Linked DNA regions of Diceros bicornis minor. The protein of the gene in region 3 binds, or shares a complex with, the protein of the main gene of each other region. Links are inferred from orthologs where the notes say so. Each region holds a gene or a part of one and is shown on either strand. Other genes may lie near its edges.

Region 1 (2,412 bases), on a different chromosome or scaffold from region 3:
GTTGACGAGACCCCTCCCCCCATCAAGGTACCAGGCTCACACTTCAGTGTCTCCAGGGCTGAGACCCTTTCTCTAGCCCAAGGCCAGACCAGGCCTCAGCTCTAGGACCCACCCTGGCCTTTGCAACCCTTGCCTTCGAGCTGACCTGCTGCTTCAACCAGGGCCCTGCCCTGCCCCTCTCACTCCACGCTCACCTTACCCCTGCGAGGTGAGAAGGACGGGGCTATTCTCCCATCTCTCAGGAGAGAAAACTGAGGCCCATAGGGAGATGTGACTTACCCAAAGTCATACAAATCATTGGGCAGGGCTGGGTCTGGACCCCAGGGCTCCTGGATCTCATCTCAAGCGCTTTTCTAGACCAGCACTGTCTAAAAGAGTTTTCCACGATGACGGTAATGTTCTCTCTGCATTGTCCATTACAGTATCCACCAGCCACATGTGCACTGGAAATGTGGTGTATGCAAGGGAGGAATTTTTCATTTTAATTAATTTAGACGTAAAGAGCCACGTGTGGCTACCATAGTGGACAGCATGGCTCTACCTCACTGATTTTCGACTTTGTTTCTTTAGCAGCAAAACTCTTTCTCTTCCAAGGGAAATCTGACTATGCAAAACAGATCAAAGCAGTGTTTTATTCATACAAATGTGTTCTGAGGAGGTACAATTTTTATCGTTTACTTCTGATAAAGCCAATCAGAACAAGGAAGCTAAAAGAACACAAAGATGTTGAATCCAGAGAACCGAATTTTAGATTTGAATTTTCGGTTTGTTTGAGTATCCAGGTTACTCTGTATTGTGGTTCCTCCAAACTTGATTCACCCTGATACATGGCTGGGAATGGTGACAATTTAATTTTCTCTTAATTACAACCACAGGATAGTCCTCAGTTAAGCAAAAAAGGCAGGAGACCCTCCCCTCCGAGGGCTGCACAAAGACCATGTGACCCAGCACGCGTGAAGGTGCTGGGGTCGCCAAAGAGACACCCTGTGGTCTGCAATGCAGCTGAGTGTGCATTTCTTTGGTATTACTATTTAAAAGTTGGCTTTAAATTACAAGACTTAAACATCTACAGAGCCACTCACATGGCCTCAAATTCTGCAGAGCAGTTTGGAAACTACTGCTCTAGGTTTTAAAATCCTCCAAGAGAAGCAGTTGCTGTAACTGGGGAAAGTAAGGAGGAAAGGCCCAGGCTTGGCGGCTGGGGAAGCCGACAGGAGCTGGAGAAACGAACTAGAGGAACAGTCCACAACCCCACGAAGAACTGCAGAGCTGTCAGCAGGGAGGGCCTGGGGTACATCTGGTCCAGGGCCCAGACTCTGGGTGCCTGGACAGCCCACCTTTAAGCTCGGCCCTCCTCTCCTTTGCAGACAAGATGGGGCGACTGTGTGTGTATGCGCTGATCTTTGTACTGGCTCTGGCCGCCTTCTCCGAAGCTTCTTGGAAGCCTCGCTCCCAGGTGCAGGACGCGCCCTCGGATCTGGGGGCCAATAAGGGCCTGGAGCCACGTTGGCCAGACCGGCTGGATGGGCTGGGTCCAGCCTCTCATCACCGAAGGCAGCTGGGGCTCCAGGGTCCCCCACACCTGGTGGCAGGTAGGAGCTGCTGACAGCCATCCCGGCTTCCTTTGCCCCGCCAGGTTTGGCTTAGGCCTCGGTCTCTAGAGGCTGGGCATGCTTCCTCCATCCTCACCCCCTCTCCCTCCTCTGACCCTCAGACCTGTCCAAGAAGCAGGGGCCGTGGGTGGAGGAAGAAGAAGAAGCATATGGATGGATGGACTTCGGCCGCCGCAGTGCTGAGGAACAGGACCAACGTCCCTAGAACTAAGCTTCAGAGCCCAGCCACCTCCTAGCCCAGCCCAGCCCTGCCCCATGAAAAACCAATCAAAATAAACTAGCTTCCAATAGATCACTCTGTGTCAAGTGTCCCGGGGCAGGGGAGGGGAATGGGTTGGAGGCAAGACTGAGGCAGGGAGGAGAGTTGAGCGCCCCCTAGGGGCAGGGACCGCGGCTAATTCTTCTTGGTGTCCCCAGAGCCTAACATCAAACAAGAATCTACACCGGTGAGTGGGAGAAGAGGTGGTGGGGTCGCAACTGGAGAAAGCTTTCTAAAAGATAAAGAAAAGCATGCCACTCCAGGCTTAACCATCCAACACTTCCCATCGTACTTAGAATAAAACTTAAACTCCTTACCGAAGCCTACAAGCTAGCCCTGCCGTCCCTGTTGTGGGCGCCGCCATGGGTGCGTTCCTTCCTCCTCTCTCTCCCTCTCCCTTACACAAATGCACCATGTTCTTTCCTGCTCAGAATCTATGTCTTTGCTGTTCCCTGCACCTGGAATGCTTTTCTCCAGGCACAAACGTGGCTGGGTCCCCTTTTTCTCCTTGAGTTCTTGGTTGAAATGCCACTTCCTGAG
Region 2 (3,748 bases), on a different chromosome or scaffold from region 3:
CACCCTCTGCAGGGTTTTAGCCCCCACCCCACACTCCCAACAGGAACCTCCACAAGGCCCCTATTCTTCCCATTCTGGGCCCAAGCACTCCTCTGGCCCAAACCCAGGAAGCCCATTTCACAGAGGAAGCACAGCCAGAGGAGCAGGATGCTGAGATGGACTCCCCAGCCTAGCAAATGCTGAGCCAGACCCTGCACCCCTGGTTGCTGCCAGCCCAGCATGGGAGGGGTTACCAGGCTCAAAACCTGAGCAGGGCTCCAAAGAGCAAGACTGATGGGATGCGGTAGGGACACAGAACAGGACAGGAGCTCTGTGTCCCCAAGCCCCATGGCACATTCCCATATCTCCTCAGCCGCTGCAGTCGGCCTGAGAGGGGGCTAGCTAGATGCTCCTGGCTGGGCACGGGGAGGCAGCAGTACCGGAAGCACCTTCTCCAGGCCCAGCGGGCAGCAGCGACGGGCATTCCACCGCGTCGACACCCACTCACTGCCGCTGCCGCACTCACAGCAGAGACAGGAAGAGGCAAGCGCCCAACGCAAAACAGCCCAGGAGGCTGGGCCGCCGCCCCTTCCCGCCCCTTCTCTTCCTCCCCGCAGCGGCGGTGAAGCGGATGCCATTTTGAAACCTCCAGGGCTGTGCCCCCGAAGCCAGGCCCCCAGGGACAGTCAACAGATGGGCCCATGATGGAAGACATGCTGTCCCTCGGCCATACGCCCAGCATGAAAAGCCCTGCTTTTCACAGCCTAGGGACCCCAGAGCAGCTCTGGGGCCAAGGGGCCACACCCCCCCACATACACTGTCCAGCCTTCCTCGCTGCTGTGAGGGCCTCCCGCCCCACAACCCTGAAACGCCCCCCAAGTCAGGCTGCCCCTGGGCACCACACTTGCTCCGAGTGGGAAACTGGACGGGAACAACTACATGGCCCAATCTTTGCAGAGGTCCACCACAGATGCCCACCCTCAGCTGGCTCCCCAACTCCTCATCCAGCTGGTCCACCACTCCCCCTTCACAGGGCCTCAAGACCCAACAGGCCCACTCACTCCCAGAGGCCATGTCCGAGACTTTTCGGCCTAGAAGGAGTGCGGGTAGCCCAGTACCCGTCAGCCGATCTCCTCCGCCCCGCCTGCCGGGGCAGCAATATGTCGGCTGTCTCACCACTTCCACTTCCCCCCACCTCTCAAGCATCCACCATCTTCCCTGGCCGTACAGGCGCCGCAACCCAAACTCCTCCACACTCCCTCCTACTCCCCAGACCACCTCCCTCTCACAGGCCCAGACAGGGCTTAGAAACTGAGAAACAGAGAGTCAGTGTACTCTCCCTGGGAAGTTTGAGGCCTGGCCCCCTCCCCCAGCATGACCCGTGGAGCCTCAGTCCAGCCCCTTAGGGGTCTGGGCCCCCTCCAACCAGCCCAGCCCAGCCCAGCCCACCCAGTGCAGGAGGGGTGGGGGAATCTGGGCAAGGCCAGAGTGTGGGAGAGGACTTAAGGGAGGGGGAGCAGAGGGTTTAAGGAGTGATGCCTGCAGAGAGGGACTTGGTGGGCCAGATGCAGAGAACAGGGGTCTCTAGAGGTTTGGGGGTTCCGGCTAGAGAGAGGGCTCATGAGCAGTCATGTTTACCCACTTGAGAGGTCCTTTGGAGTCAGGGTGCACAGGTGGAGGATATAGGGTCCAGAGTAGGGATGGGGCACAGAGGGGAAAGGAAGGAGTGGGTGGGGGCCTGGCAGGGGCCCTCGGGGATACTCATGCCCAATAGGAATAGGGGGAGCAGGTGGGGGAAACAGGTGGTGCCTGAGGGTAGGGGCCGCGTGGGGTCTAGGGGTTTGGGTAAAGTCTAGGGAGAGATGGAAGGACAAGGCAGGGGCTCTGAGGGTCTGTGAGTTGGTGAGCAAGGGTGGATGGTCAAGCAGGGTTCTGGGCAGCTGGTGTTGAGGACCTGGTGGCTGGGTTTGGGGTTTTACGGTCTGGGACGAGCTGAGGGTCTAGAGTCTGCGCTATGGATCAAAGGTCTAGGCCAACCCAGAGTTTTGAACCATTATTTGGGTGTTCTGGCCAGGCCGGGTCCGGGGATTCAAATCCAGGTGTGGGAGTTCACGCCGAGTCTGGAAGTTCGAAGCCGTAGTCTGGAGGTCTAAGTCCTTGTCTGGGGATTTAGGCGGGGAGTGTGTGTGTGGCGGGGGGGGGGGGGGGGGGGGGGTCCCAACGCTGGGCGTGGCCTCACCCAACAGCAGCAACTTCACCTCCCGCGCCGCCTTCTCGCCGTCTTCCCGCAGATTCTTGTCGATCATCTTGGAGCGCTCGGCCGCCGCCTTGTCCTCAGCGCTCACAGTGCAGCCCATCCCGCCGTCCGCCGGCCCGGCCGCCGCCCGGCCCCCACACGGCCCCCGGCCCGGCTCGGCCCCGCCCGACCCACTCCGCTCCCGCCGCCGGCCCTCTACGGGTAGCTCTCGGGTCGGCAGTCCCGAGCGTCTGCGGGCGGTGCCTTCCAGGCCTCCGCGCACCGACGGCTGGGCGGGCCGCGGGTGGAGCCGGAGCGAGCCAGGCCCTGGACTGGGCCGGGGCGGGTCCGGAGGCGGGGCCATAGGGGATCCGGGGCAGGTGATTGGCTCGAGGGCGGAGCGAAGGAGAAGTTAGGCGCTGCTCAGGCTCGGGCCGGGGCTGGAGGCGGAGCCACGCGAGGGATAGCTGTAGGGGTAGAGCCAAGCTCAGAGGGATTGGGCTCCGAGCCGGCTGCAGGCGGGGCCGGGCTCCGATTGGGTGTGGAGCGCCTGGAGCTCAGCGGCCCACGGCGGGGGCGGGAGATCTCGTAGCCGGAGGGTGGGGATCCGGTGCACCTCGCGGCCAGAGCAGGAACCAGTCCTCTGTACTTGTTAGTTGGGCGAGCTGGGTGGAGGAGGCGTGTCTTCGTCACTTGTTAAAGTTAATGAACCCAATAAACTTGTTTCGGGATCTGCAGAGGGCCAGAGCCTCTCTGGACTGGGGCTTGCTCCGTCTTAAGGCAGGTTTGTCACCTTCTCTCTCTGGATTGCAATATTAAAAAAAAAAGTCTCTTACCACCTCTAGTCTGTCTCCCTCAGCTGGGGTGCCTTCTCTAGTCATCCAAGGCTTATCCATCCTTCTCTGATCTTCTAGGAGGCATCCCCCTGCAGGTAGCCATCTTGGATTTCAGTCTGGGACCTGGCAACCAGGACCCAAGAGAGAAGGAGACAGAGAGAATGAGAGAGAGAGAGACAGAGAGAGGGAGGAGAGGGAGAGGGATATGCCGCCTGACTTTTGGAAACATAAGTGGCCATGATCTTATGGCCTGTCCCCACTGGATAGTGGCTGCAACCCTATGGCTGGTGGGGTGGAGGCAGCAGTGTTTTTAGCAGAACATTTCAGTCTTTCTAATCCTGTTCTCCAGGAGGAGTCCACAGCCCCAACCTCCGATGGATATTTGAAGGGTCTGCCAAGGGTTACCCAGGAAGGTGTCCTGTGTGGCCCCAGTAACATGAACCAGGGAGGCCTCGGCCCAAAGACAAGGAAGTTCCACAAAGCCAGGAGGGGAGCTGGCCACCAATGCTTGGCCACCCACAGCCCCATTCAGCACAGACTCCCTCCTTACCACACTGGCACACATCTTGTTTCAGCTCCCCAGTCCTCAGGCTGTCTGCTCTCCCTGCAGTATCTGTGTATCCTATCTGAATGGCTCCCTTATTGAGGAGCCATTGCCCTGTAAGTCCCCCAGTGGTGCCCCCATGGCTCCCTCCTG
Region 3 (3,748 bases):
TTGTATGATTTTATCTATTCCTATGGCTTCTGTTACCTCCTCTACGCAGACCTTTCAAGTCTGCATTTCCAGCTCATACCCCTCTCCCACATTCCAGCCCCTGGATTCAACAGCTTATTGGGCAACACCACCTGGATAGCTCACCAGCATTTAAACTCAGTGGGTTCCAAACTGAACTTATAATCTCCTCTTTCAAACCTGTTTCTGTTCCTTTGTTATCATTCTCATTATATGGCATGAACATCCATCCAATTGTCCAAGCCAGAAACCTGGATGTCATGCCCTGACCTCTTCCTCCCTCTCCATTTCTAATAAATTGCCAAGTTCTATTGATTCCACTTCCTGAAGTGCCTCTTAAATCCATCCACTTCTCTCCACCCCCACTGCCAGTACCCTAGTCTAAGTAGTCTAAGCATCATCTTTCACGGAGACCAGTGTAATATAATAGCCTTCAGAAGCATCCGCCCGCCTCCCGCCTCCCGCCTTCCATTTCTTGTCCTCCAGTCCATGCTCTACACTACAGAACTAATCCTGGCTGAACTACTGAGCCTTTCAGCAGTTCTCAGTGCCCTCAAGATAAAATAGGCATTCCTCAGCCAGGTCTACAAGGCTCTCCATAAACCCTCTAGGCTGGTCTTCATCCTGAGGGTTCATTATTCCTCTGTTATGGTACATGTCTCACTTAGAAACTATGACACACTGAACAAAAGTGCCATGGATTTAAACTTTGGGTGTTTACACATACTGTTCCTCTGCTTGGGTTGTTTTTTGCCTTTACTGCCCCTTCACTTGGCTGACTCTCCCTCAGCTTTTTTATTTAGTTCATACTTCATCTCCTCAGGAGGCCAACTTTGATTCCCAAGCCTAGGGTAGGCTAGGCTAGAGGGGCTCCTCTTCTGTGTCCCCACAGTCCTCTCAGGGCACCTCCCACTCTGCTGCAGCTTCCTGCTGACTTGTCTTGTCTCTCCCACTAACATGGAGCTCTATGAAAGCTCTGTCAGTTTTGTTCTACTCACGTCCCTGGTGCCTAGCACAATCTCTGGTTCAATAAATATTTGTCGAATGAAAGAATCTAAGTGAGAGTGTATAACAACTGGTCTGAGAAAGCATGCATTATTTTGTGGGGTAAATTAATACTCGAATTACAATTTATTCCCACTTTCCCTTCTTGAGCTTGGAATAATTTCCTTTTGCTTAACACTGTTCTCTCTCCTGGAATCCTGTTTCCTCCTTTTCTGACTACTGAACTCCAACTGCAAGACTCAGCTCCCAGGTTCCCTCTGTGAAGTTCTCAGACTCCATCTCCTTTGGGTGCCCATGATTCAGACCCTCTTGTGGGACTTCCCATACTGACTTTGACTTTTCCACTAGTTTTGTCTCCCCTCTGCACCTGACTATGGGCTGATAAGGGTCCAGACTGGGTCCAGTTTATCCCTGTGTCCCCAGCACCTAACCCAGGGACTACAATAGCAGGTGTCCAGTAAACATTTAAGGAAAGAAAAGGTCAAGGAAGGGGAAAAATATATTTTGAGCTGGATCATCAGGAAAATGTGGATATTGGCTGATAGGAGGAGTGAAAGTCATTTTGGGGACTGGATGAATGGAAGCAGTCTGGAGTTTTGGGGGGGAAGATGGTGGCACAAAGGGATGGGGTGATGAATGGGGCAGCCAGGCTCTAGGAGGGTGAAACCTAAGGAAGGGCAGCTTGGAGGGACTTGGAAGAGACCTGGAGACATTACTTGGAGACAGAGAAAGAAAGAGGGTACAGAGCCTTGAGAAGAACTCTAACTTGGGTTGCATGGGGATTTGAGGATGAGTGAAATGGAGAAAGGCAGCTCTAGGGAGCAGCCCCCAGTGCCCAGCCTAATTCAGGTTAGAGGATATCTTTTGGGAAGGCCTGAGGTGTTAAGGTGCGGGAGACAGAAGATTATAACTCAAACTTCCCACTCAGGCCTTCCAGAGCGCTCCCTCCCCAAAGCAGTCCCCTTCTTTTTCCGAATCTTGCCTTCCTTTCTTTCCTTCCTCATTGTGGCTTTGTGAACTGAGTGTAAAAGGAAAAGAGAGACCTGGAAAGGTTGGCAAGAGGAGGTCCTTGCCTCCCCACTATCGGCGTCTAGGAGGGGGCTGTGTGTTGGGGAGGATGCTGTGTTTTGGGGGTGACCAGGAGCTCTGGGTGTGACCAGGGGACCAGGGTGTGAAGGTGCTCTGACAAGGTAGTGTGAAGCTGTAATGGAGTTTTACGAGCTGTGGGGGACAAATGTGTCAGGGGGAGCTGTTTGGGGACTCAGGCAGAACTATAAGGGGATGGTGTGGGCGTCTGAGGAGGCAGTGTAGAGGCTGTGGGGGGCCCTCTATTAGTGCTGTGGTGCAGTGAGAAGGAGCTTGTGGAGAGGGCTTAGGGAGGTACCCACCTCGTGTCCCGGCTCCGCGGATGCGAGGGGGCTCGCAGCTGAGGTTGCCGGTACCGCTGCTGTTGAGGAGGGGGCCCCCCGGACGGCACAGGGGAGCCCCCGGCCCGGGTCCGGATCCCTGCACGCTCCGGTTCAGCTTTAGCAGCTCCATGGCCCCGGCCCAGCCGCCGCCTCCCACCGCTCGCCGGGCGGGCTCCCGCTGCGGCTCCACCTGCTCACGCTGCGATTCCGGCTGAGGCTCGCGCCCCGCCTGGTCCCCGCCCCCAACCTCGGCCCCTGCCCCTCCACTCCTCCTCCGCTCGCCCCGCCTAGGCTCGCGTCCCTCCCAGGCTCGGGTCCGCTCTGTCCCACCAGGTGACTCTCCGCACCCTCCCCCGCTCAGGGCTTACTCGCCCCGCTGTGTGACTGTCCTTCAGGCTCTCCCCTCCCTAGATCTCTCCGGTCTTCTCTTAGAGATTTGCTTCCCGCCCACTCCCCTTCACCATGGGTTCCGGGGATTCTCGGGACTGTGTGTGTGTGTGTGTGTGTGTGTGTGTGTGTGTGTGAACATGTGTGTTGGCGGGGATGAGGGTGGGGGTTAGGTGCGGAGGGAGAGGTTGCGAGGAGGGAGGTTGCGGGGGAGGGAGGGTAAGAGGGGTGGGGTAGGGCGCGGCTGCCGTGGGGTCTAGCATCTTTCCCTCGAGGGTCAGGAGACGTGGAGGTGGCAACTGAGACGGAGGCAGCGTGGGAGTCACTGGCTGCGGCGCAGATGCCTTAGCGCGCGCGGAGCGCCGCGGTTACCGTACTATGCCGCAGTGGCCGCAGTGACCGCGACACTATTGCTACCGTAGTTCCCTGCGGCTCCTCGCCGCGGGGCCAGTGTAGTCCCTGCATCTACCCCCAGCACCTGCGACCTCCTACTTCAGGTCCAGCATCCAGGCTTCCACCCAAAGCTCCCAAGGAACCCTCCGCAGCGGGCGAGGATAGGGGGGTGGGAGGGGCAGCATTTGTCCCAGGGGAACTCTGGCAGGGTAAAGGGCTGCCCGGAGGAATAGTCTGACTTGGGTGTTGAGGGCGGCCGGGGTGGTGGTGAGAACTGCCTAGGATAAAGCGGGTGCGGAGGGGAGGGTGGGATATCGTTGCAATCCCTGCCCAGCGCACGTGTAAGAGAGAAGAGGCAGCCGGCTTTCTCCGTGGTCTCCAGGCAGCGCCCACTCTCACCAGACACACTGACGCTCCCTGTTTGCTCTCAGCGCAGGTGGAGCAGCCTGTATAGGGCGTCAGGTTCCCACGGAAGGGGGCTGGAAGGGGGCTGCATCACTGGGGTTCAGCGGGAACAAAACTGAAGGGGGTATGCG

Evidence for each region.
Region 1: the proteins of CCKBR (region 3) and GAST are in contact, whole or in part, in a cryo-EM structure (PDB 7XOW), measured with the Homo sapiens proteins. The link is inferred for Diceros bicornis minor from reciprocal best matches to the Homo sapiens genes CCKBR and GAST. Residues at the interface, in NP_795344.1 of Homo sapiens: Cys107, Pro114, Asn115, Gly118, Thr119, Phe120, Met134, Gly135, Val138, Tyr189, Gln204, Cys205, His207, Leu222, Val349, Tyr350, Ala352, Asn353, Arg356, Pro361, Ala363, His364, Leu367, Ser368, Ile372, His376, Tyr380; in NP_000796.1 of Homo sapiens: Glu85, Ala86, Tyr87, Gly88, Trp89, Met90, Asp91, Phe92.
Region 2: the proteins of CCKBR (region 3) and GNAI2 are in contact, whole or in part, in a cryo-EM structure (PDB 7F8V), measured with the Homo sapiens proteins. The link is inferred for Diceros bicornis minor from reciprocal best matches to the Homo sapiens genes CCKBR and GNAI2. Residues at the interface, in NP_795344.1 of Homo sapiens: Thr87, Thr89, Arg152, Ala155, Ile156, Pro159, Leu160, Ala162, Arg163, Val164, Thr167, Ser169, Ile241, Gly248, Leu249, Lys328, Val331, Leu335, His394, Arg396; in NP_002061.1 of Homo sapiens: Glu28, Ala31, Arg32, Glu33, Val34, Lys193, Leu195, Thr220, Phe337, Thr341, Asp342, Ile344, Ile345, Asn348, Leu349, Lys350, Asp351, Cys352, Gly353, Leu354, Phe355.

The regions. Positions count from the first base shown.
Region 1 is NC_080757.1:41,008,609-41,011,020, forward strand, and holds GAST (gastrin), read left to right. Parts: upstream 1-1,372; coding exon 1,373-1,592; intron 1,593-1,714; coding exon 1,715-1,818; 3' UTR 1,819-1,863; downstream 1,864-2,412. UniProt on the Homo sapiens protein: Gastrin stimulates the stomach mucosa to produce and secrete hydrochloric acid and the pancreas to secrete its digestive enzymes. It also stimulates smooth muscle contraction and increases blood circulation and water secretion in the stomach and intestine.
Region 2 is NC_080741.1:51,281,300-51,285,047, reverse strand, and holds the start of GNAI2 (guanine nucleotide-binding protein G(i) subunit alpha-2), read right to left. Parts: upstream 2,384-3,748; 5' UTR 2,337-2,383; coding exon 2,219-2,336; intron 1-2,218. UniProt on the Homo sapiens protein: Guanine nucleotide-binding proteins (G proteins) are involved as modulators or transducers in various transmembrane signaling systems.
Region 3 is NC_080746.1:64,370,172-64,373,919, reverse strand, and holds the start of CCKBR (gastrin/cholecystokinin type B receptor), read right to left. Parts: upstream 2,584-3,748; 5' UTR 2,563-2,583; coding exon 2,412-2,562; intron 1-2,411. UniProt on the Homo sapiens protein: Receptor for gastrin and cholecystokinin. The CCK-B receptors occur throughout the central nervous system where they modulate anxiety, analgesia, arousal, and neuroleptic activity.